4 linked regions of the Drosophila melanogaster genome follow. Changing the gene in region 2 together with the main gene of any one other region gives a genetic interaction. Each region holds a gene or a part of one and is shown on either strand. Other genes may lie near its edges.

The links.
Region 1: of Ctr1B (region 2) and MtnB, changing one suppresses a phenotype caused by changing the other (phenotypic suppression), as found in Drosophila melanogaster (one study listed by BioGRID).
Region 3: of Ctr1B (region 2) and ATP7, changing one suppresses a phenotype caused by changing the other (phenotypic suppression), as found in Drosophila melanogaster (one study listed by BioGRID).
Region 4: of Ctr1B (region 2) and Grx1, changing one enhances a phenotype caused by changing the other (phenotypic enhancement), as found in Drosophila melanogaster (one study listed by BioGRID).

Annotation. Positions count from the first base shown.
Region 1 is NT_033777.3:20,501,894-20,506,763, reverse strand, and holds MtnB (metallothionein B), read left to right. Parts: upstream 1-3,145; 5' UTR 3,146-3,233; coding exon 3,234-3,258; intron 3,259-3,319; coding exon 3,320-3,426; 3' UTR 3,427-3,662; downstream 3,663-4,870. Other genes in the region: Or92a (odorant receptor 92a), read right to left, coding at 578-790, 857-1,055, 1,155-1,969; CG46441 (uncharacterized protein), read left to right, coding at 4,821-4,870. UniProt on the Drosophila melanogaster protein: This protein binds cations of several transition elements. Thought to be involved in metal ion homeostasis.
Region 2 is NT_033777.3:8,315,740-8,321,858, reverse strand, and holds Ctr1B (copper transporter 1B), read right to left. Parts: upstream 4,248-6,119; 5' UTR 4,123-4,247; coding exon 4,063-4,122; exon of another isoform or gene 3,853-4,062; intron 3,422-3,852; coding exon 2,957-3,421; 3' UTR 2,654-2,956; downstream 1-2,653. Other genes in the region: Or85a (odorant receptor 85a), read right to left, coding at 1-112; Poxm (Pox meso), read left to right, coding at 947-2,049; Coq2 (coenzyme Q biosynthesis protein 2), read left to right, coding at 5,469-6,119.
Region 3 is NC_004354.4:11,852,055-11,859,059, forward strand, and holds the start of ATP7 (ATP7), read left to right. Parts: upstream 1-2,967; 5' UTR 2,968-3,297; coding exon 3,298-4,267; intron 4,268-7,005. Other genes in the region: p24-1 (p24-related-1), read right to left, coding at 1-208; CG10347 (uncharacterized protein), read right to left, coding at 803-1,287, 1,347-2,604.
Region 4 is NT_037436.4:18,865,166-18,870,557, forward strand, and holds Grx1 (glutaredoxin 1), read left to right. Parts: upstream 1-4,064; 5' UTR 4,065-4,165; intron 4,166-4,172; exon of another isoform or gene 4,173-4,261; 5' UTR 4,262-4,337; coding exon 4,338-4,481; intron 4,482-4,541; coding exon 4,542-4,646; intron 4,647-4,711; coding exon 4,712-4,807; 3' UTR 4,808-4,892; downstream 4,893-5,392. Other genes in the region: CG6865 (uncharacterized protein), read left to right, coding at 1-38, 101-256; CG14074 (uncharacterized protein), read left to right, coding at 1,174-2,184; Dysb (dysbindin), read left to right, coding at 2,715-3,480, 3,539-3,639; Blos3 (biogenesis of lysosome-related organelles complex 1, subunit 3), read left to right, coding at 5,143-5,205, 5,263-5,392.

The sequences.
Region 1 (4,870 bases), about 12 Mb from region 2:
TGAAGGTTGATCTAGGATTACACCTTCCAGCTCTATGGGTGCGGTGACGGGACTTAAGGTCTTCAAGGTGAAGCAGGGATTGATGGTCTTTTGCGGATTGACCTTTAAATTCCATATATTACAAGTATTACAAGTCGTTTTTTATGACTGATCCGCAAAGTATGCAAAGTATTCTGTCGCGGGAACGTTAATGTTCTTTTCATGGGGACTTTATGTCACAGCCTTAAAGCATGTATTAATTAATAACTTTTACCCTCTATAACATCTGTAAAGTGTTAACAGAACAGATCTTTTTTATGACAATTTAAGATTTGTTTTATTAATTTTATGAATTTTTATATATTTTTCACATTAAATAACTTGATTTGTTGTGGTTTTTTTTAGGATAGAATACTGTTTTTTCTTAAAGATCACAAGTTGTTATCTTGTTATATAACATTATGTGTACTTATGTATTTGTATTTTGCAAACGAATTCAGTATCTTATTTTGCAAATATGTATTTTTCGTATTCGATGGATTGCTATCAATATTCCGATGTACCTATGCACATACATATATATGTATCTAATCTTCCCTTAACCATAATATGTGGTGCGGAGCAGTGCAAAAAACTGATACGACATGCTGATTACCTTCATAAAGGTATTAAAAGATATGGGTGGAAAGGTAGGCGGTCTTATAGAGGCGGGCTTCTGGCTGCGCGCGATAATAAATTGCAGGATGCGTTTGTATTTGGTGCTGCATGGCAACCAGTTCTGATTAAATGCCGAATGGCCAATCCGAGAGCTCTGAAATGTACATTTCTTGTTAATACTAGACCGAAAACAAGAAAAATTAATAAAAATTAAACTCACTGAAGATATCATTTCATCGCCGTAGTAACAGACCACAAAGACTTGAACCAGCGAAGCTGAAAAAAATATGAAGTACAACACTATGTCCTCCACATTTGAGGCTGTAATCTGAAAGCCAGCGAAGCAAATCACGAGCGATGCGGCAATAAAGTTCCACAGGATCAGGAAGCTGAATATGTTGTTGACCTCCTCGCTGAGGCTGAAAAGTGTATTATAAGAAAAACATGTAGTAGTTTAGTTCTTATCCTTAATTTGGATGAATTGAGAGATATATATAATATATAACCGTCAAACTTACTCCAGCGCCCTGGCATGATAGACGACCAAGTTGTGCAGGTATTTGATATTTTCTTCATCCGTATGATCACCTCCTTCGTAGGCCTCCAAATCATTCGCTATAAAGTTGAAGTGCATGGTCAGCTGGGTTATGGTCGCGATCAGCAGGAGATCCACGCAGACGTAGGAAACTCCGGCCACATAGGCACAATGAGCCAATCCCCAGTAGGAAAACCAGTAGACCGTCAGATCCGTTTCTGCGTCGTAGGGAAACAAAATGTGAAATCCGTAGTTGCGCTCAAAGATTTCCGATCCCATAAGGTAATACTTTATGGTCGACTTGATGGCTGGATAAAAGCTAAATGACGAGGTGTAGGTCATGCAGAGGATGGTGAATAGGGTCATGACCCTGTTCATGTGTTTCCGGTAAAACGATACGTTATACTTCCGCTGCGCTTCTAAATCTAAAGGAAATATCTCCTTGAGATCATCCAGCAATCTGACCAATCGCTTTCTATTCACTGTGAGACCGAACTGCTTAAAGTCGGCCATGAAGCTGAAGCCAATGCACGGTGCCACTGCAGTGGCCTCCAAAAGAGTAGTCGTCGACATTATATGGACTATAAAGTACGCGATTTCGCCCACCACATAGGCATTGAAGTTGAGAAAACCGAGTACCAGATAAAAACGTAGCAGGTAACGCCTTATCACATTCGGATCCCTATCGGAGTACAGATCCTCGCCGATGGTCTTGTAGAAAGTCATCGGAAACCGGGTAAGTTCGTCGAAGGTGATGACTTCATCGTCACTTTTTGGCTTACGTTTGCGGAACAGCATGATTCAGCTGTTTGATCGGCTGACAGAATAAGTCTTAGGTTTATATAGCTCCCATCAAAAGTGTCCCATTAAATTCGCATGAGACACCCTTCGCTGACCTCATAATTACTTAATTTAATTTGGGGTAACGGAACACCTGCCACTTGACTTTCTAAAATATTGAGTTCTACAGGAATGTTCCCAGGACTACACGGAGAAAAATCGAAGGACACTTTGGGGACGAGAGGATATTCATGCAATTTGTGGTAAGGAACTGAAGTCATACTCTAACTGAACGGTGCTGGCTGGTCAAGTTATATATGTTTATGTGATGTTAAATATAAACCTTGTGGTCAACACAAGCACAAGAATCAATTATATATTCATTATACTCGTTAAAGATATTTTTTTTTTAAGGTAAGGTAAATAAAATGGTAAAAAAGTAAAGGTAAAAAAACTAGCCGAGTTAGAGACTGCAGGAAACTTATCTAAGTCGTTCTTTTGTTGCAGGTACACCTAGCAAAAAAAAAAACAACTAAGTCAGGCCTATTTCTATATTTGTTCTCGAAAACTTTTTTTTTACTAAAAGTCATAAATATATATAAAGTTGTTCCGGGTGTTTGGTTTTCCGTGCAACGAACTGTTTTCGTAGCTCCCGCAGAGCTTATAGTTTTTGCCTAATTTGCAGCGCGTTTTTTCCTCTATTAATTTTTAGTTAGCTTTCCACATGTGATATTTTTATGGCATTTACGCTGGGTTTTTTTTGAAAAGAGTTTAGTCGTAAAGCGTTTTTGCAGCCAATATGAGCATTTAAATTTGTTTTACTACAGGAAAGTCTTTTATTTATTGTGAAAAACCCCGCTGGGTAGCTGCCTGCGCTTTTCATGCTTTTTATTGTGTGCTTCTGGGCTGTGGGCTGAGTCACGATACGCGGCGTATACGCAACGTATACGCAACGTGGGCAGCTGATAAGCTGATGAGGAGTTCGTGTGCACCGAGTTGGCGAGCAATCGCGTGCGCAAAAAGAATTGCCTGGCCTATCGTCTGATAAATTGCGAACCACTCGCCCCAGACTTGCACACGACGTGATAAGTTGGGTCAAACAAACAAATTTGTTTTGGATTTGTGCAATTTTGCACTCGTTCGAGTTCGAGGCAATCGAAGTGGGTATAAAAGTGGGGGAGTTGCCGGACTGGGTCATCAGTTGAATAGCCAAGCAACAAGCAAACAAGTGAATATCAGTTCGCCTCAGCCAAGTGAAAGTCGAGAAATAGATACATACAAGATGGTTTGCAAGGGTTGTGGAACAAGTAAGTGGTACAACGCAGCAGCAAGCTGTATAATTGACAATCGTTCTCGATTCCTCGACAGACTGCCAGTGCTCGGCCCAAAAGTGCGGGGACAACTGCGCCTGCAACAAGGATTGCCAGTGCGTTTGCAAGAATGGGCCCAAGGACCAGTGCTGCAGCAACAAATAAGCGGGCCAACTATATAACTAACTGTTTAACTTCTAAACTGGAGCTTAACTCCCAACGAGTTGGCCGCAATAAATAAAGTTTATAAAGATTTTGAGCATTTAAAAGTTTCTGCCGTTAACTTTTTGTTACTGGGCGGTCGGTCATCTTACCAAGCGATAATTATATTTTCGGCTTTTGGCAGCTAAAACCAATTATGGTAAAATAATAAACGTGAGCTGGCATTCAGTTAAGCAAACCGCAAAATAGAATTACATGAAAAATAAGCAAACGCAATGCGACAATTTGGGCGGGATTTGCAAATATTTGTATGTTCGCGGACAGCTGCACCGGAATTAAAATCCAATCCATCAGCCGTGATTTTGGTAGAAAACTCACCGAAAGTCCATTGAATTGTGCGCAAAACGGAACATAAATCGAAATAACATTCAATTTTCGTGGCCATCGAACTGAAACCAAATTATTTAGCCGCTTTTATCTGCGACTGAACTTTGCCCATATGCCAATGGCCGAAATTGCAACCCACTTTGTTTTGAATATAAAATGTATTTCGCTTTTGAGGCAATTTCTCAAAAATGTTGTGCCGATTTTATTGCATTTTCAAAAAATACATATATATTCTGCTCTACTAGCAGCAAATTCCTCCAGCGTTATGTTGGGTTTAATAGTCTGCCAATGGAATAGATACGTTTTGTATCGGCCAAATAATAACTTTCTGGCCAAGTTTTATTTATTTAATAGCCTGCTACTGCTACCCATTTCACACACTTTTGTTTAAAGAGCGGTCGAGCTTTCCATTCGAGTGGCTAGGCCTGAGTTTCCAACTGTCAAAACCAAATGACCAATTAAAATACAGGCACTTGTGGACAATTTCAAGCGTCCGTTTCCGGTGCTTGAGCTGTCAAAATATTTATGAAACAACAGTGGTTCAGATCCATTAGCATAATCAGAGGTGCGTGATTGAGGCGTTTCCCAAAGACCTTTGTTGCGTGCTCAGGTCGTTTTGTTTTCTTCCATTTTGCTTTGCTCCCTGCCCGGATGTAAAGTAGCAGTCTTTTGGCAAATCAGGTGTAAATAATGTGACAGGGAAACGCTCTTGTAATGACTACCTAGGACCTATACTCCACACAAAAATTCCAACAAAGAGTATGTTAATTACCATTTTTAAAATTAGCAATGAAAGTTTTCACAATAATAATAAAATATATTTATATATAAATGAATATGAATATAAAAAGTATTTGTGTATGATTTCCATGACAACTGCTATGATGAAAAGCGGTTTGTATTATTATTAATAATAACAAGTTATTACCCTTGCATTTGGTGTCAAAGTTGAACTTCATTAAGTTTCATATATAGAAAATACAATTACGAACGGGACAAGGAGTTTTAAAATGGAGCTCGGAATCTTGGAAAATGGGCAAGACGAATCGATCAGCTTAGT
Region 2 (6,119 bases):
GTGGCGGCAGTCTCCATCCCATTTGATCTATGGATCTGTTTAAGTAGATCAGCGAATCCCGGGATCGAAATAAGGATCCAAGGACTGGCTCTTGAATGTACTTAAAAATCATTTTTGAAAGTTTAGAGGTTTCGATTGACTTGAACTTTGTCACCTGAAGACTGAGGGCAGTACCCTAAACTAGTTGCATTTATACGCGTTGTTTAATTGTCCAATGCTAGTTAGTTATTCACGAAAAGAACCGCCTTTATTTGCGTGCAAAATTGCACAGGTTGTTTTGAGGGGTGTGTCTTCATGTCTTAAATAATTGACAATTGTTCCCATATTGTCCCTTTCGCAGGAGTGGTTGTTAATTACTTTATTTATGGTCCTGTGAAAATAGCTTCTCTGCTGAACCTTAATCATTCTTCAATCTCAAGAATAGGATACACCCATGTGCACCTATCCTTAAGTAGTGTTCTATGCGCCAAGGGGAAATCTTTGCGTCATCGCTCAAAGTGCATTTCCGCACGTTCCGGGCATTCAAATTGTGTTTTCCCAGTCACAATCGGGGCACCCACATCCGCAGTTCTAAGAAGCAAATGGTAGCGATTTTCAGCCGAACAAACGGCTCTCCACTCAACTTGGGCTGCCGCTCGCCAATCCTCCTCCGCTCCGCCGCTCCACCGCTTCTGCAGGTCCCACTCCTAGCCACTCGGCTCACTCATTTGCCACCGAAACTAATTAGACGCAAATGTGCTTTTGTTCGCCTTCCCATTCCCAGGCAACGCTCTTTGTTCGCATTTTGTACTGGGAACCGGGAATAGCTTTCGGATGATACTGTGGCATACTCTGGCATATGAACAGTTTCCGAAAACAGTTTTTCATATTTATGTTAAAATGTATAGACACTTCCTTTATTCCTTTATGTTACCAACCTAACTAATCCGCAATCTTCTCTTTGCAGAGTCGCAGTGTCCGCAGTATGGCGAGGTGAACCAGCTGGGCGGCGTCTTTGTCAACGGCCGTCCGCTGCCCAATGCGACCAGGATGCGGATCGTGGAGCTGGCCCGCCTGGGCATCCGACCCTGCGACATATCGCGCCAGCTGCGAGTGAGTCACGGCTGCGTGTCCAAGATCCTGGCCAGGTACCACGAAACGGGCTCCATACTACCCGGCGCAATTGGGGGATCCAAGCCGCGCGTGACCACACCCAAGGTGGTCAACTACATCAGGGAACTGAAGCAGCGAGATCCCGGCATCTTTGCGTGGGAAATCCGGGACCGTTTGCTCAGCGAGGGCATATGCGACAAAACGAATGTACCCAGTGTGAGCTCCATATCGAGAATCCTGCGCAACAAGTTGGGCAGCCTGGGGCATCAGCACACGCCGGGAACGGTGATGGGCAGCGGAAGCAGCAGCGGTGGCGGCAGTGTGTCCAGCAATGGTGGACAAAACAATGGCACGAGTGCCAGCAATAATATTAATCTGAGCAATCTGGGTAATCCCGGCGGTGGACCGCACCATCCGCACCACCATCATCATCATCAGTCAGCGGCGGCGGCGGCAAGTGCCCATCATGTGCACGCCCACGCCCATGCCCACGCCCACCTGTACAACTCCATCTACCAGCCGTACAGTGCTGCGGCGGCCTACAGCATGAAGACGCCCTGTGGAAGTCCATCCCCGCCGCAGGGAGCGGGCGGTCAGGGATCAGTGCCCCATCCCCACCAGCTGAGGAGTGTGGCCGCCGCAGCCGCTGCCGCCCACTGGCCCTCCTCCCACTCGGTCAGCGATATCCTGGCCCACCATCAGGCTGTTGCCCTGCGCGCCAGTTGCCAAGTGGGCGTCGGAGTGGGTGGAATGGGCGGCATGGGCAGTACGGTATCCCCGCTGCCGATGACTCCTTCGCCGGTGGCGGGAACGGCCGGTGGTCAGCCACTGCTCGACTGCGAGGGTGGGGCGGGACAGCAGTCGCCGTACAACTACTACATGTACTTCCAGAACGGCGGAATGCATCACCACCATCATCACGGCGGAATGATGGCCGCTGGAGCCACGGGCTTATGATTGGGTGGTCTATAATCAGCGGATTGGTTGCGGGTCTAGCTACTTTCGATCGCGGTTGTTCAGTCTAGGTTACTCTAGTCTAAGAGCTAGTTAGGGAATGGTCTCATCATGGCGCTCACTTGTCACTCAAATTTTAAACAAATGCACTAAAAGAACTTATAATTATCCCGGAAATTTCAAAATAATTTAAACTTTAACTAAGAAGCTTGCAAATACTGGTGTGTGGTTAGGCAAGTACAAATAGATAAAGTGTCGTAAAAAAATGTGTGCGAGATGATTCACATAATCATAAGGTTTGCTTAGTTATATTACCTGCCCAGATGTATCACAGCTAAAATATTTGTTAAAAAGATTTTTCAAGATCTTAACTAAACTAAAATATGTACTATTGTGTGATAGGTGAGTATCGTGATTAGTTAGGCCTTCAAATGTGAGTTGTGGGCTGTCAGGACTCAGACCTGGTAATGTTCGCATTTCATAACGAATTTCATGTAATCCTGGAGATTTAACTTTGCCTTCTTTTTTGTCTCATATCGGATTGTTTGCGTTTTGAGTTCGGGGTGGTCAAAAATAAAGTGTATTGCTTATAAAAACATATTGTAAAGTCAAAAGTATTGAGTAGTACTTTAATCGCTTTAGATGAATACGCGTTGTATAGGTTCTTGTTCTCATGACTACACTATTTGTACAATATGCTCATTAAGTAAACTAGTTGACTAATTTATGCTACGATTACATCAATAACAATTAAACCAAGTGTAACTATCGAATAAAATTGTATTTTTAAACAATTTGTATAATTACGTGGGGACGGGACTTTTTCTTTGATGTGTGAACCAAGAACTGATAAGGGCTTAGTTTATAACAATTGCAAGATATATAAACAATTAAGAGCGATATTCTTGATCTAAGGACAGCACTCGCTCTCGTCGGGATTCTTCTTGTTCCAGCCGAAGAAGAAGTAGCCCAGACCCAGTCCCAGGATCACTGCCAGGCACAGCCAGTAGTTGAAGGTCATGAAGATCAGCATCAGCAGGTACGAGATGACGATCTGCAGCAGGTTCAGCAGGGACTGGACGATGTGCGACGAGGCGAACAAGCGCTGCCAGTAGGTCTGCTCCCTCGGCTCCGCCAGGGGAGCTTCCGAGCAGCATCCTCCGGCTGCCGGAGCCTCGTTCTTCCTACGCTGCTCCGCCGCCAGCTGCTCGCTTGCTCGACGGGCTTCCCTGCGCGCCAGTTGCTGTCGCAGGAACTTGAGCGCCTCATACAGGAAGGACACCAGGAAGATGGCCAGGGCGGAGAGCACGAACTCCGTCACAGTGGACGCCACCCATCCGCGCCACAAAATTCGCTCGCAGTGTCCAGCGTGGAACTGAAAGGATGCGAGAGTGAAAGATTAACTACATAAGAATCCATAAGATCAGTAAGATGAGGCTTAAATACCAGTTAACTACCACTAATTACCACTTAATAACTTTCTAATTCGTATCTATATCTAGATTCCTAGATATCTAATATCTAGGTATATCTATATGGTCACTTTTGCTAAGATGATCCTTAATACAAAAGTTTAATATTACTTTTAGTTTTATAAAATATCAAGCTTAAGCTTTCCAATTAAACATCAACATAAACATAACATTCGAATTAAACATCTTTTTTATAATTCCCTTACAGCGGTATAATTTAACCCATGAATCTTTATTCATGAGACACCCTGTTCGAGCATATTCAATTTGTATTATTTGTATTTGCTGAGAGCGAATAAAGCGCTAGAGAGCGAATAATTCGTTGTGGTTTCTGGCACATAAACATACTTATACGAACTTATACTAGGGAGTGACTAGCCAGAGAATTCAAATTCCAAGTCGGACGAGATATTTGTTTGCTCTCCGTGCAAATCTCATTCAGCTAAACTGGATGAGTGACTTTTAAATTACAGCGTTTAGCGCAGTGGTAAGTGATTTTGTATCAAAATTGTTGGACACAGGAGTTGTGTAACTGCGTACTCACCACCATGATCATAGGGCAGGACTTGGCCGTGCTGGTGCTGTCATCCGAGCCGTGATCCATCTTGGGCTGCTGGTGTAGTATAGATATAGATAGAAGGCGTGGAAAATCCGACTGGCGATCGGGGAGGCACAGTGATAAGAGCTAGACCTGCTGAGGTGCTGAGAGCAGAGCGTTGACTGCTTGAAACCCGCTGCTCGCGAGTGGTTTTTTAAAGAAAATCGCACCTAATCCCCCGACGCGGCGATAGGAAAGTGCGCTTATCTATGGGCAATGGGAAAGAGCGTTATCACCCAGTAGCGGCGATACCAACGATAGTCGCCCCACACTAAGAAAGGCAGCCCAGATACAGTCATGTAAATAAACATAAATGCATGCAGATCTCAGTGTTAGAGGTCAGATCAAAAGATATATTCTGGGTATCAGTTGCAGATCTTTATCTCGAGAGATAAAATCCATAATTGATGCGTCGTGGGTTTCTCTGCGGTTTGCAGCTTAATTTATGGACTCATGGCAAAGGTTCGACAATCGATTCGTGTGCAGAATTTATTGCAATTCAGATTATCAATCATGGGCTAATACAACCCCCTGAAATTGTTGCTGTAATACATGATGTTGAAATAATTCCATTATTTCTTCGCTTCGATCACGGTTTTATGGCTCTAGTCGAGTACATTCATACGTAGGTATATGCCCATATTCCGGCATGGGAGCGATAGCAACCGTCGGCCGCCGGATCGCCGGAGGTCTGCCTTAGTCCACTTGGCTTTCCTAGAGTGTTATTTCTTACTGTGCTATTTCTAACTGGGATAGAATGCCGCCAAAATTGATGGCCGTGCGCAAACCTTCTGCGGCCGTGTGCATAAATTCTACGGACATTCCTGCGCCGTGTGCCAATTTCGAAAAATGGGCGACGTGCGCAAAACATTAACGATATTGCAGAGGGGTAAATGGTTGGGTCTACGCAAAAAAGAGAGCAAAAGCTTTTGCTAAACTGCTTAGGTGGAGATAACTGTAAAGAAGCTTTAGTTATTAGTATTGGTAAAACGAAGAACTACATTCCGCATATGTTCTTCTGTGTTTAGATATATAAATATGACTTTGGTGAAACACAACTCAAAAGTTAACAATTAACACAAGTTGTTTACAACTTTAATATATTTGTCTTTGAAACTTAAATTCAAATTTTTATCGCCAAATGCAGCAGTGCCACCGGATCATATTGTTTTTTCATCTATCCGGCAACTCTTTGTCTGCCTTTACCCGGATGGCAGCCCTTTGACATTCCCAACCAAAGTTCCATTAAACATCTTGCCATTTTTTGACTGTGAGTTTACGAACAAATACAACTTAACATCGTGTGACTTAATGCTTTAATCGTTGAAGGTGCTAGTGCAAGGCAAATCGCAATGTATGCGCTTCGACACCTGCGACTCCAGAGCGCTAGGCACTTCCGCAGCTCTTATGCAGCGGCGGCAACAACAAAACACATGCTGCCCCGGCAACCAGCGCGTGTTCTGATTGGAGATTGGAGCACTTGGGATAAGTCCCGGCTGCAGGATGTATGCTCCAGGAGTTCGAGTACCGCCACTGAGCCCGTGAAGCAGCAAACGCCGCTGCAGGAACTCGTGTCGGCCGCCAAACCCTATGCCCAACTAATGCGAATCGACCGGCCTATTGGCACCTACCTCCTTTTCTGGCCTTGCGCCTGGAGCATAGCGCTCAGCGCGGATGCGGGCTGCTGGCCGGACCTCACCATGCTGGGTCTGTTCGGCACCGGGGCACTGATAATGCGCGGCGCCGGGTGCACCATCAACGATCTCTGGGACAAGGACATCGATGCCAAAGTGGAGCGCACGAGGTTGCGGCCCTTGGCCTCGGGTCAGATCAGTCAGTTCGATGCCATAGTATTCCTCTCGGCGCAGCTCAGTCTGGGTCTTTTGGTGCTGGTCCAGCTCAACTGGCAATCCATATTGTTGGGCGCCAGTTCGCTGGGCCTCGTGATCACGTATCCGCTGATGAAAAGAGTCACCTACTGGCCCCAGCTGGTTCTGGGCATG
Region 3 (7,005 bases), on a different chromosome or scaffold from region 2:
TGACCTTGCCCTGCGGATCCTTCAGGGTGACGTCCACGTCCAATTGGCCACCGGCCGACACCTGGAACTCAAAGTAGGCGCTCGAGTTCTTCTTGATCTCCTCGTAGAAGCAATCCACCGCGTTATCGGCCAGATCGAAGGTGAATTCGACGGCAGAGATGCAGTGCATCATCAGAGCTACCGCAAATACAACGATTTGTGTGTTCATGGTTCGCCCTTTTTGCTTTTTGGTATTCCCTGCTGGATTCGTATGATTCCCTGCTTCACCGCCTGTTATTCTTCCAGCTGCAAAAGAAATGCGCTCGGTCAGTGCCAAGATTCCGGCCAAATGCTATGCCACCTGTCATTCCAATTCCATTTACTTACCAGCCTCCGTCCGGATTACGTGACGTGTTTTTGTTATTTGTGATATGCTATCGATATCGCCAGCATTCGGCGTTTTGTGTTATTCGCCGCACGATAGGTCTGGGGTTCTGACGTGTCAACACTCTTTTCCGCCACTCGCTGTGCAGCACTGCGGACCCACGTATATGCTATCGGCTACTGAGCAGCAGAGTTGCCACTCTTTTTTTTTCTTTGGCGCCATTATCAAAAATTGTTAAGCACTTAAAAATAAACTTTAACAATAAACATAGTTGTATACATATATGATTAAAAATTTACATATATATATTTTTTTTATATATTTATATTATAAATTTTAAAAGTACTAATTTTTTAAAAATGTACATTTCAGAATTTGAATTGTAAAGCCATAATTCTTTAAGAGTAAATGGAGAAAAAAAGAAAAGCGGAACACCGTCTACACCTGCAGGTGTATCAGTTCTTTCTTGGAGAGAACGGTGATCAGATTGTTTGCCGTGGTTATGCCCAGAATCTCGTCAATCTCGTTGCCCAAGGTGATGAGCTTTTGTTTACCCAAGGTGACGGGAGGTCCGTTTCGCCTGCGGAGACCATCAGCCGAATTATTAGCCGGAAAGTAGACGAGAACGTAGCGTACAGGGTCACATATGGCTACGTAATCCAGATCCGGACTGCAGACGGTGAATTTCCGCACAACCTTGGAGGCCTGCACGTAGCCGAAGGCGTGCAGCTGGCCCTCGTGGCGGACACTCCATTCATCTGGACGACTGGGCTGGTACATCTGTAGCCATATGGAGGCGTCGACGCCCTGGCGGGTAGCAAAGGCGGCTGGAAAGCCAGGACGCAGCGTGGTGGTGAGCACCAGTGGCGGGGGACCAAGAAAAATAGTGTGGGTGATGCACCCGCTGGTCAAATTGAAGCGTACTAAAAGAAGAAAATGTATTTATTAAGCATATGCAGCAGATGTATAATAGAATGCTTACCCATCTTCATTTCTTCATCAGCGGATATTAAGTCACATTCTTCAACGGGATCCTGCAGACTTGGAATGGGCAGTGGTGGAGCTTCCATTGGATGTACTTCCTCCGCTACGTCATCTTTCTTCTGCGCGAACAAACGTGGCCAGTTCTGAATCTCCGCCTTGGTTAGTGACAATTCTAGGCCATTCTCAGCCAACTTAAATGCACTTAAATCATCTCCCACACTGGCGTATAACTCTTCGTCGAATATAACCTCATCCAGATGCTTTACAACGACAGTGGTTTTAGAACCGCTCACGTTAAACTCTTTAGCGGATGCAGTTGAAGGAACATTGAAACGAATGAGCACATTATTATCCGTTTGGGACCAGCTATAACTAGGTGGACCTCCATTTTCCAGCTGGCCATCGTGATCACCTGAGGAATTCAAGCGGGCAGCGGCTGCTTCATCGGCTGCCCGACGCTCCTCGGGAGTCTGAACATCGCGGTTGCTGGCAATGACTAGGGACTCGGCGCGAGGCTCAAAGGCGCAGTAGTGCACAGAGCCAGTGGTCTCCAGCCGTTGACAGATATTATATGACCACTCGTCATTGGTGGGCGAATGAGTCCACCGTGCCCAGGTCAAGTCCATGTAATAGACGTGCGTCTGATCTTGGCCAACTGCATCACGGCGTGCCACATGACCGGCCACCAGCGAGATCTGCTTACGTTCCTGCAGCACATCCAGCCGGGCATCGAAGAGTGCAAAGCCGCGATGACCACTGTTATTATTCACCGGCGAGCGTGTAATCCGTTGCCACTCCTGCACATCGGTGCGCGTTCTGTCGCCGGTGTCCACCAGATGGTAACTGGTTATACCGTCGCAGATCACACAGAATCGTTCCGAAACGAAAACTATGGTGTAGTTGTAGTCACCCGACCGATGTAGTTCCCCATCGCCCTGATCCCTATAGTCCACCGTGAGGACAACGCGCTGGGCACGTGCGCGTCCAGTCTGTAGATCGTAGTTGCACTGCACCAGCTGGTGGCGCTTGTTAAAGAAGTAGCTGCAGTGGCGCATCCATGGATCGGCTACCAGGTGATTGTGTCGGGCAAAGAGCTCCGTGTGCAGCAGCGAGAACTGATTGCTGCTCGGATCCAGCACGTAGGCATCACATCCAAGTTCCTGGCGAAGAACAGGCACCGAATCGAATGCCAATTTGTAGCCAGAAAAGTCCGAGCACACCAGGTTGCGATCCACTTTCAGTTCCACCACCGGCATCTTGCTTTACTGCGCCAATGCTGAGTTGGATTATATTGGAGATTTCGAAAAAATAGAGATAGATATTCCAAAACAAATCAAATCAAATCGGTAGTAGACCGGATAGAGATGGCAGATGACCGTTCGGCCGTGACTCGTATCGACTTTTTATCGACAAGTGGGGGATATGTACGATACCTTGGCAATTTTCAAATCTAATAAGATTCCTTTTTTTAGTTTGAAATTTAACTAAACAATTAAATAGCTAAAAAGAAAACATTAGTTAGTCACATATTTTTTTATCGAATCGAAAGTTTAAGCAATGTATCGATATAGCCCACATCGGTATCTAGCTCATCTCGATAGCGCCTGCCTATCGACGGACGGCCATCGGTAGTTGCGTGCCGTGGGAAAAACATAACGGGAGCGGAGCAGCTGTTGCCTGCTAATTGAAAAATTAGACACAAGAACGCAAAATTGTGAGTTTCGTGTGGAGTTTGGCCAAGTGAAAAGCGTTGGCGGGAGGCGACTACTCCACCACAACAAATCCAGTAGTAGCTGCAATACGACTCACCCGACTCCACAAAGTTAGTTTAGTGACACAATTCGGTACGTGCGATAGGGCGAGGGGCAACTCAAAAGTTCAAAATCTCAAGTATATCAAGTAATTCCGCATCGTCGTGTTCCGCCCACCCAAAATAATGCACATTGAGGATGCCAAGTGACGAGAGAGTAGAAGCGACGATGTCCACGGTGCGCCTGCCCATTGTGGGCATGACTTGCCAGTCGTGTGTGCGCAATATCACAGAGCACATTGGCCAGAAATCGGGAATCCTTGGCGTGCGCGTCATTCTCGAGGAGAATGCGGGCTATTTCGACTACGATCCCCGACAGACGGATCCCGCCCGGATAGCCAGCGATATCGACGACATGGGCTTCGAGTGCAGCTATCCAGGGGATGCAGCAGATCCTCCCGAAACTCCCGCCAGCGCATGGACCAACATACGGGTGGTGGGCATGACCTGCCAGTCGTGCGTGCGCAACATCGAAGGCAATATCGGCACCAAGCCGGGCATCCATTCCATTGAGGTGCAACTGGCGGCCAAGAATGCCCGCGTTCAGTACGATCCCGCCCAGTATGATCCCGCCCAGATAGCCGAGCTCATCGATGACATGGGTTTTGAGGCTAGTGTGCAGGAACCTCGATCGCCATCCCAATCGCCGTCGCCCGCCCCCGCCTCATCACCCAAAAAGAGGGCAACTCCTACTCCTCCACCTCCTTCATATGCTCAAAATGGTTCGGCAGTGGCCATACCCGTCGAACAGGAGCTACTGACCAAATGCTTTCTGCACATCCGAGGCATGACGTGCGCCAGCTGTGTGGCCGCCATCGAGAAGCACTGCAAGAAGATCTACGGCCTGGACAGCATCCTGGTAGCCCTGCTGGCCGCCAAGGCGGAGGTCAAGTTCAATGCCAATGTTGTGACGGCCGAGAATATAGCGAAATCAATCACGGAGCTGGGCTTCCCCACCGAACTCATCGATGAGCCGGACAACGGCGAGGCGGAGGTGGAGTTGGAGATTATGGGCATGACTTGCGCCTCCTGCGTCAACAAGATCGAGAGTCATGTGCTTAAAATAAGGGGCGTGACCACCGCCTCCGTCACACTGCTAACAAAGAGGGGTGAGTGTTTTTTGTGTACTTAAGCTAAGTGGCTTTCTGGAACTAGTTTATCCCGAGAGAATTTCAAATCACGTTCTGGGTCATGCATTCGAATCGAATTGCGAGTCTGGAAGCATTCCACAAGTGGCAGTGCCAATTGTTATGCAATATTTATAATAATAAACACCTGGAATGGGGCCATCAACCGATATGCACCTGTTGCGCTTTATTCTTGCCCAACGAGCACAGGTGTTAAATTCGATCATATATCTTGTATATCTTAAGGGATCGAATAATGCAATGGGAGTAATGAGCTGTAACAGAAGCAAACTATTGGCAATCGTTAATTGATGCAACTTGTGGCAATAACAAATATTAAATAAGCCATTCAAGGGAATTTCGTAGAATGCCCTTATTTGTTTTGCATTTCGCAGAAAGCGACAGCTGTTCCTTTTTATTAACCTACTAGCATCGAGTTCGAGTAGAATCGGTGCAAATGTTTTTTTTTTTTTTATTGTTCGCTTTTCACAATTTCCACAATTGAAAACTGGCCCAGCAATTGTTTATTGCAACTGATATACTCGATTTACTTTATGCTTTTTTTTCTGGGGAGGGTGGCAGGTTCGTTGATAAGAAAGTGCGAGGAGCACTATACTCATATGCATGTATGTATGTATGTACTTTATAAACCATACACTACTAACTATGCTTTCAGCAAACAATGCCAGTGGCAACTAGATTAAATAGCTGGAATTCACCACGCTCGTGTGCGTGGGCAGTAAAGCTATCTGGAACACTTGGATGAGGGGAATTCAATGGCAAGCCGAGAGTCGGGATATTTAAAATATTCAAGATATTCGCTAAAAAACACATAATATAATTATTGTTTTGTTGGGCGCTGGCAGCTCGAGTTTTATTTGCCAGATTATAGCGTGTTTTTTGCGAGTGTTCAGGAAGAACTTATATATACATATTTATGTATGCGATTAGCTGACAAAGAACAAATGAAATGATTTGAGCTCTTTGTTTTCATAAACTTTATACTGCCAATCGCATTTACCAATTAGCATTTAAGCCATGAAACTGAAAGTCCGCCTGGCCAAAGAAAAATCAAAACAAAAGTGAAAGAGCTCCAATACGCCTTGAAATACAAGTACATACATATAATGTATGTACATATATATGTATGAATGTATAATAATTTATATACCCGCGATTGGCGGGCAAACGAGCGAGGAACTAATCTCGCTTTTGTCTGGAAAAAAAGAGGGAAACCTCTCTCTTTTTCAGCTTTGCAGTCTTTCTGCTCCGCATGCGTGGCCACGAACTCCACTTCCACTTCGTACACAGCGAGAAATGGGGCTAACTATGATATAAGTATTATATAGAAGAGTGCTATCTACTTCGGCATATGATCAGCATATAAAATCTACTAATATTTAAAAGCACGAATCGTACAATGTTTAGCAAGTTTCTTTTATTTTATGTTAAGCACGCACTTTTTCTTCGAGTGCATTTCTAGTTTCATTCACCTTCACTTTGATTTAGAGCTGTTTTTACTTTACTTTTGCTTTGCCAGCTCAAAAATGTTGATTTGAAATTAGTGAACTAGTGGCGAATTATGCAATAACTTGGCTTTGATCCACCACATTCACATTGAATTCTGGCTGATTTACGAATATCGGTTTGCATACCCGTATTTATGTATGTACTAGATGTACGTGCGCCGTTTTGAGAAGCTCAATTGCAAATTCAAAAATGAAAATGCATAAATGGGGAGCCTCGTAATTATGATTGCAATGGAACTGGTTTTCGATTTTTTCGCATTCGACATGGAGACATGCGCACGGTGGAGAAAAGCGAGCGAAACTGTTGCGATTAAATGACACTGAAAATAATTTCAGACATTCAAAAGTGGTATGAAAACAGCGAGCCCACATGAATATCAATCGCTGGCAGCTGTATGATGGTATATAAAGTACAATATCGCTTGTTTTTTTAAAGTTTATTTGTTTATTTTGAATTTACATATATACTTATTAAGATACTTAATTGTATTGTAATCATTTTCGAAAAACAATTACGTACCAGTCATGCTTCTGAAAGAGTTCATAGATGTTTTGGGCCAGCGAAGTTGGACTTCTGCCATATGGATTGGTCCAATTCCGTGCGGCTTCTTATCTTTCAATCAATTAGCACTTAAACTTCATTTAACTAGCTTAACTTGTTGTTTGCCAATTGTTACTTGGCTTGTTTGCAGTTTGTTTGCCGCAAGTCGGTAGTCGAAATTGGGAATGTAAACTGTTGAGCAAAACATATGTTTTCCTCCGATTCTTATCGTCCGGCGATAAGTGAACGACAGAGAACGAACCACAGGCAATCTCAATTCAAATTGAAAATGTTCTAAAATTGTAACAACGAATCGCGGGCGATAAGATGCAATGGGCGGGCAAATAAAAGAAAGAAAGAACAAAAAAACTGAATCGAGAGCCCTAGAAAATGTATATTTCGACGACTGCAGTGGAACTTGCATAACTCATAAGGGATAGATTAAGATACCCACATATATTACTTTTGCTACTTTACTTTTGATTCGTTGAAATTCGAAAATGAAGTTCGAAAAAGCAATTTCTTGTGTAAACACACGAAACGCATCAATTATCAATTGAAAAGTGGGCTAAGATCGATCGGTAGCACTGATAATTAGCGACAATTGTCACATTCGGTGTGATCAACCTAATCCTTCCTCAATTTTGCAC
Region 4 (5,392 bases), on a different chromosome or scaffold from region 2:
GTGCCGGTTATGAAAACGGTCAAATCGACTCGTGTTGGGTGAGTATTCACTTGGCTGATACGGCACACATGTTATGCTCCGGGTTTACTTACCTTCACAGGCGGATTCTGGCGGTCCGCTGATGTCCAAGGAGCATCATCTGGTGGGCGTGGTGTCCACGGGGATCGGCTGTGCACGTCCAGGTTTGCCCGGAATCTACACGCGCGTCAGTAAATACGTGTCCTGGATGCAGAAAGTGATAGACGGCAGGAAATAGTTGGCCAGGAATCTGAAACATAAAGATTGTGATTCACCTGTGATATTAGTCGTACTCGATTATGTGATCTTCTTCAATAAACGTTACTTTAACCAACTAGAAATTCAATTTATTGCGGCCGGTCGTCATTTTTTAAACTTTAATCGATGATTGTGCCAATCGATATCGTTGGACTAATTTGTGGTATTTTGCAGAAAAGATTACTCTGACAATATTAATCGACAAGAATATCGCTAGTGTAGGAGGAACGGAGGAACGATGGAATTTTGAATAATTTATTCTTTCATTATTGAATTCAAAAAAATGCAATAACGTTTAAAAAAATATCTAACTACCTATGTACGACTTAAGTTCATAGGACTCAAGAAAGTATATGAAATATGCACTTGAAAACTTGGCTCCCCACGCTTACTGTCCCACCTGCTGCCCCGCCCGACCGACTGTCACCCGTGGCCCAACGAATGTCTTGACGTCTGCCCCGCCGTTTCCCTAAAGAAATGTCCTTAAAAGTGGTCACGCTCTACGAGTGGAGAAATTCCCGAAAATGTGGGAATAGTTAGTAAGATCTTTATTTTATTTTTTGCAATTCACCTCCAAATAACGAAAAGAAATAAATAAATAAAAAACGTCCCCATGTTTTGATTTCCACCGTTCCGTCATCGCCGCGAACTCATCGACGCTAATTTAACGCACATACAATAATCGCTTTATACTTAGTATTTTAAAAATACTTATAAGTAGCACTTACCGTCCGCGGTATTTTTTGTTTCGCAGCAATTGGTATTCAATTAAATGCCATAAACAAACACAAAAAATGGAAATGGACGCAGACCTAACAAAGTAAATATTTATATTACAATCCGATATATTTTTAATTAATTTGATGCTCTCACGTTAGTCAGGCGATTGCCGAGCTAATGCGCGAGATCGAAGGTGCAAATGCCAGTGTCAGCACCTCGAAACAAAGCGAACGCAAAGTGAATCCTCTGGGCAAACTAAACAAACGCTTCTTAGGCCGCACCATAAACACCGCGATTCGGCATAATGATAGAGAAAAGGAGCGCACACAGGCAAATTGCCGACAGAAGCTGCAGGATCTGGATGATGTGCACGAAAGGAGGAAGTCCAACTACTTTTACAGCCGCGATGCACCCAGAACTCAAAGTGTTGATAGAAGCAGAAGTTCCAGCAGAAGGCGCAGCAGGAGCCGCCACAAAAAGGCCAAGAAGCATCGCAGCCGAAGAAGAACTAGGAGCAGCAGAAGTTCAAGCCGCAGTCGAAGTCGCAGCAGTTCACATCGGCGAAAAAAGCGCAAAAAGAAGGTTAAAAAACACAAAAAATCACACAGAAGACGAAGAAGCAGCCAGAGCAGCAGCGGTTGCGATTGGGAATCCGCACCCAGCGAGTCGTTACGTATACCCCCGCCTTCAGATGTGTTCCTAAACCACTCCAAGCAAATGGCTCTTGCAGTGGCCATGGCCTATGGTCAATTACTAAACCCGAGCAGCCAAAAGAAAGCCAGCGAGTCTAAGGAACACTCCTCCTCTCCTATAAGCGATATATTCCGGGAACTTATGTCCGACGAAGAGGTGGACAAATCCGAGAAGCCCGAGGCCCTGTCCATTTCATCCAGCGACGAAGAGCCAAATGTTCTCACCATTAAAGTAAGCTCGAGCTCCGAGTCCAGCGGCAATAAATCAAGCTCGGACTCAGATTCAGAAGCAAAGAACAGCGTACGCAGCTGTATAACCCTAGAATCTGGTGATAATAGTGATATTGAGATAATTGAGTACCATGAAGAGCCCAAAAAAAAGGCATGTGAAACTGAACCTGCGTCTGAACCTGAATATCCGTCTCAATCGGATAGCACAAATCAACAAGTGGACGATAGCACAGCTGTCACTACAGTGGACCTGACCGAGGATTAATTAGGCTAAACTTTAGTTAGAGAATCGTTATGTAAGATCAGAATGAAATTTTAAAGGAAACAAACTGAAGTTGAACCAAACTAAGAATATTGTTTTTATATTATTATTACAGATATAAGCTCTGCCATAGATAGATTCATATTTGGTTGGTTTTTTTTTAAGTTATGTTTAATAGTAATATACTAAATATACCACCGAATGATACCCTGTTGTGTCTGTTTATAATATCAACTTTGGGTTCATTTTTTTATTTAAATTATAAAATAAAAATGCAAAATTTGAAATGTTAATAATACTTATTAGTTTTAGTAAGTAATAAAAACCACGTGCCAGAGCTCTTGCCATAGTTGATATGCCTCTCGTGTACGGCAACAAACTGTTGCTCTCTCTCTCTCTCTATGACCGATTTTCTCTCAGCACCTGCCCGAACAGCTGATTCTTTATTTACCACTCAATTTTCGATGGAAAACGCCAGCGCGAAGACAATTAGAAATCGCTAAGTTAAATAAATAGAGATCCGTTGTCGCAAGATGTTCGGGAACCTGAAAAAGAAGCTTAGCAGTGCGATCCAGGAGGGCCTGGTGATCTCGGAGAATCTGCAACAGCAATATCGCCAGCGTGTCAGTTCCGGAAACTCGGGGAGTAGCCAAGCCAGTGGGATTACGACCCCCATTTCGCCACTGGGCCTTAACGAAAGTCTGTCGTCCAGCAGGAGCAGTAGCCTCTCCCTTAGTGCTCCCTTCCAGCTAACCGATGGAGTGCCCAGTCACCTAAATGTGGCAGCTGGTTGCAGTTTGCTTGCCAAATACGAGGATGATTGGCAGCAGATTCATGGCGCCAACGAAAAGAACGCGGAGAAGGCTGCGCAGATTGCTAACCAAATCTCCGGCATCCAAGACCAGGCCAGCCATCAGCACAGGATCATGAGTGAGCTGAACAGTAGTCTGGCGGGAATTCCCACGTTGATAGCCCAACTGCAAAACAGCTCACAGGTTCTTAATTCCCTGGAGGAAATGGGTAAGCAGTTGGAGATTGAGCTCGAGAAGCTGGAGGATCTGCGCGAGGAGTGTGAGCTCCAAGAGTTCATCCTTGAGCAGCAGTTTCAGCTCTCCCGGCACAAGCAAAAGAAACTGAACGAACTGGAGCAGTATCGCCAGCAAATAGCCCAGAAACACCAATCCAAAATCAAGGATCAGGAGCAGACCCTCCTGAAGCTGCAGAGGGAACGACAGGCTGTCTTCGACGACGCCTTCCGGGAGGATATGGAGGAGTACAAACAGCGCGGCCAGCTGACAAGTTAGTCTGATAACATAAACAAATATGATGCACTAAGTTAACGCCCCTTTTTTTTTAGAAATTCAAACCACCAGCAACAAGTTGGCTCTGGAGGAAGTCGTCCTTGAAGCCAACGAAGTGGAGACAAAGGATGCTCTGGAACAATTTCTAAATGGCTAACTCACATTGTTTGCTCATCTCGCAAAAGACTACAATTTGTGCCTTTAAGTGCAATAAGCAGTGTAATTGTTAAAATATTTTAACGGGGACTTCTGAAAAATAACTTAATTTTTTCACAACATTTTCTTACTGCATTTGAACGTTAAACTATTACATTAAAGGGAATTGGACATACAAAGATTAATTATCAATGCCAAATTATTTTAACATACAAGGCATTTTAACATAATTTGTTAAAGTAATTTCAAAATTGCTTTACTATCTCGGACAAAATATAGGCAAATTTAATATAAGTTTCAAATAATGAAGTCAAAGTAAAAGTGAATTTTCAGGAATCCCCCTAGTGTATATGAAATTTGTTGATGTGGCACCGTCACTGCATGTTTTGACAGCGCTGAATAAACATTGTTTTTATAACAGTCGATTTTCTCTTTTCTTAATAGACACACAATAATAGATTCCTTAAACTTAGCATGATTATATGGAAATTAAATTAAATATTAAACATGTTTATGATTACGAGATGGTAATTTCACAACGTGGCAGCTCTGGCGAGAGCAACAACAGCTGATTGCTAATCAATGATTAAAAAACTGATTAAATTAGAGATAATTCTCCGCAGCTTACACTTGTCGCAGCTTTCATTGCTCCCCGCATTGCCCCCCAAGTTTCCGTACCCCCTCCTGGATTTCGAGCTTATGGGTGCAGTTGGATCCGCTTTGAGATCCCCAATAGTCGACATGTCCACCAAGCAGGCGAAATTCGTTGAAAACACCATTGCCAGCAACAAAGTGGTGATATTCAGCAAGACCTACTGTCCCTACTGCACGATGGCCAAAGAGGTGAGAAAGTTGCGAGACCTTGAAAAGTCCCAAACAGTGATAAACATCTTTGCGTTCCAGCCCTTCAAAAAGCTCAATGTGGACGCCACCATAATAGAACTCGATGGAAATCCCGATGGCAACGAAATTCAGGCAGTTCTGGGCGAGATTACCGGTGCCAGAACGGTGGGTGCACTAAATATTTTACATTATAAAGATTAATTATCATTTGTAACCTGTGTACTGTGTAGGTTCCCCGCGTCTTTATCGATGGCAAATTCATTGGCGGTGGCACTGACATCAAACGAATGTTCGAGACAGGAGCTCTGCAAAAATATTTCCAATAAATAGTGTTCTTACTCTGTTCAGAACTCCGTTTTATGTAAAAAGTTTGTTAATCTTCAAAGTCCTTAATAAATGCTTTTAAAATTTATGTTTTGCGCTTATTGAGATTACATCGTCTTCTGAGTAATGGGCAAAGTGTTACTAATACCATTCATTATCCGTTAATAATTTTTATGATTGTAGTTCTACGGATCTGTTAGCATAGATATCACAAACATAAGAATATCCCCTTCAACTGCGCCCATGTGAGCAACAGTTTGCAGTTTTAACTGATCTGGCAGCGCCGTAACTGCAGTAAATAAAAAATTGTTTACAATAGTATTTAATAAACTGAATGATGGCTGATTTGGTGAGCGGTGAAGCTTCTGAATCCGACGAGGAGCTGCAGGAGAAGAATAAGGTTGTTGAGGATATCATTTATAAATAACAGTCCAATAATAAAACCATTTTGTGACAGATTTTTGCTGCTGAAATTTCGGGCGAAGCCTCCGAAGAGGATGATGAAGACATTTACGAGCAAGGCCGAAGCAGCAACCAGGTCAACAGCACGGCTTCCATTTACCGGAATAATCTGCTTCAGCGGAAAC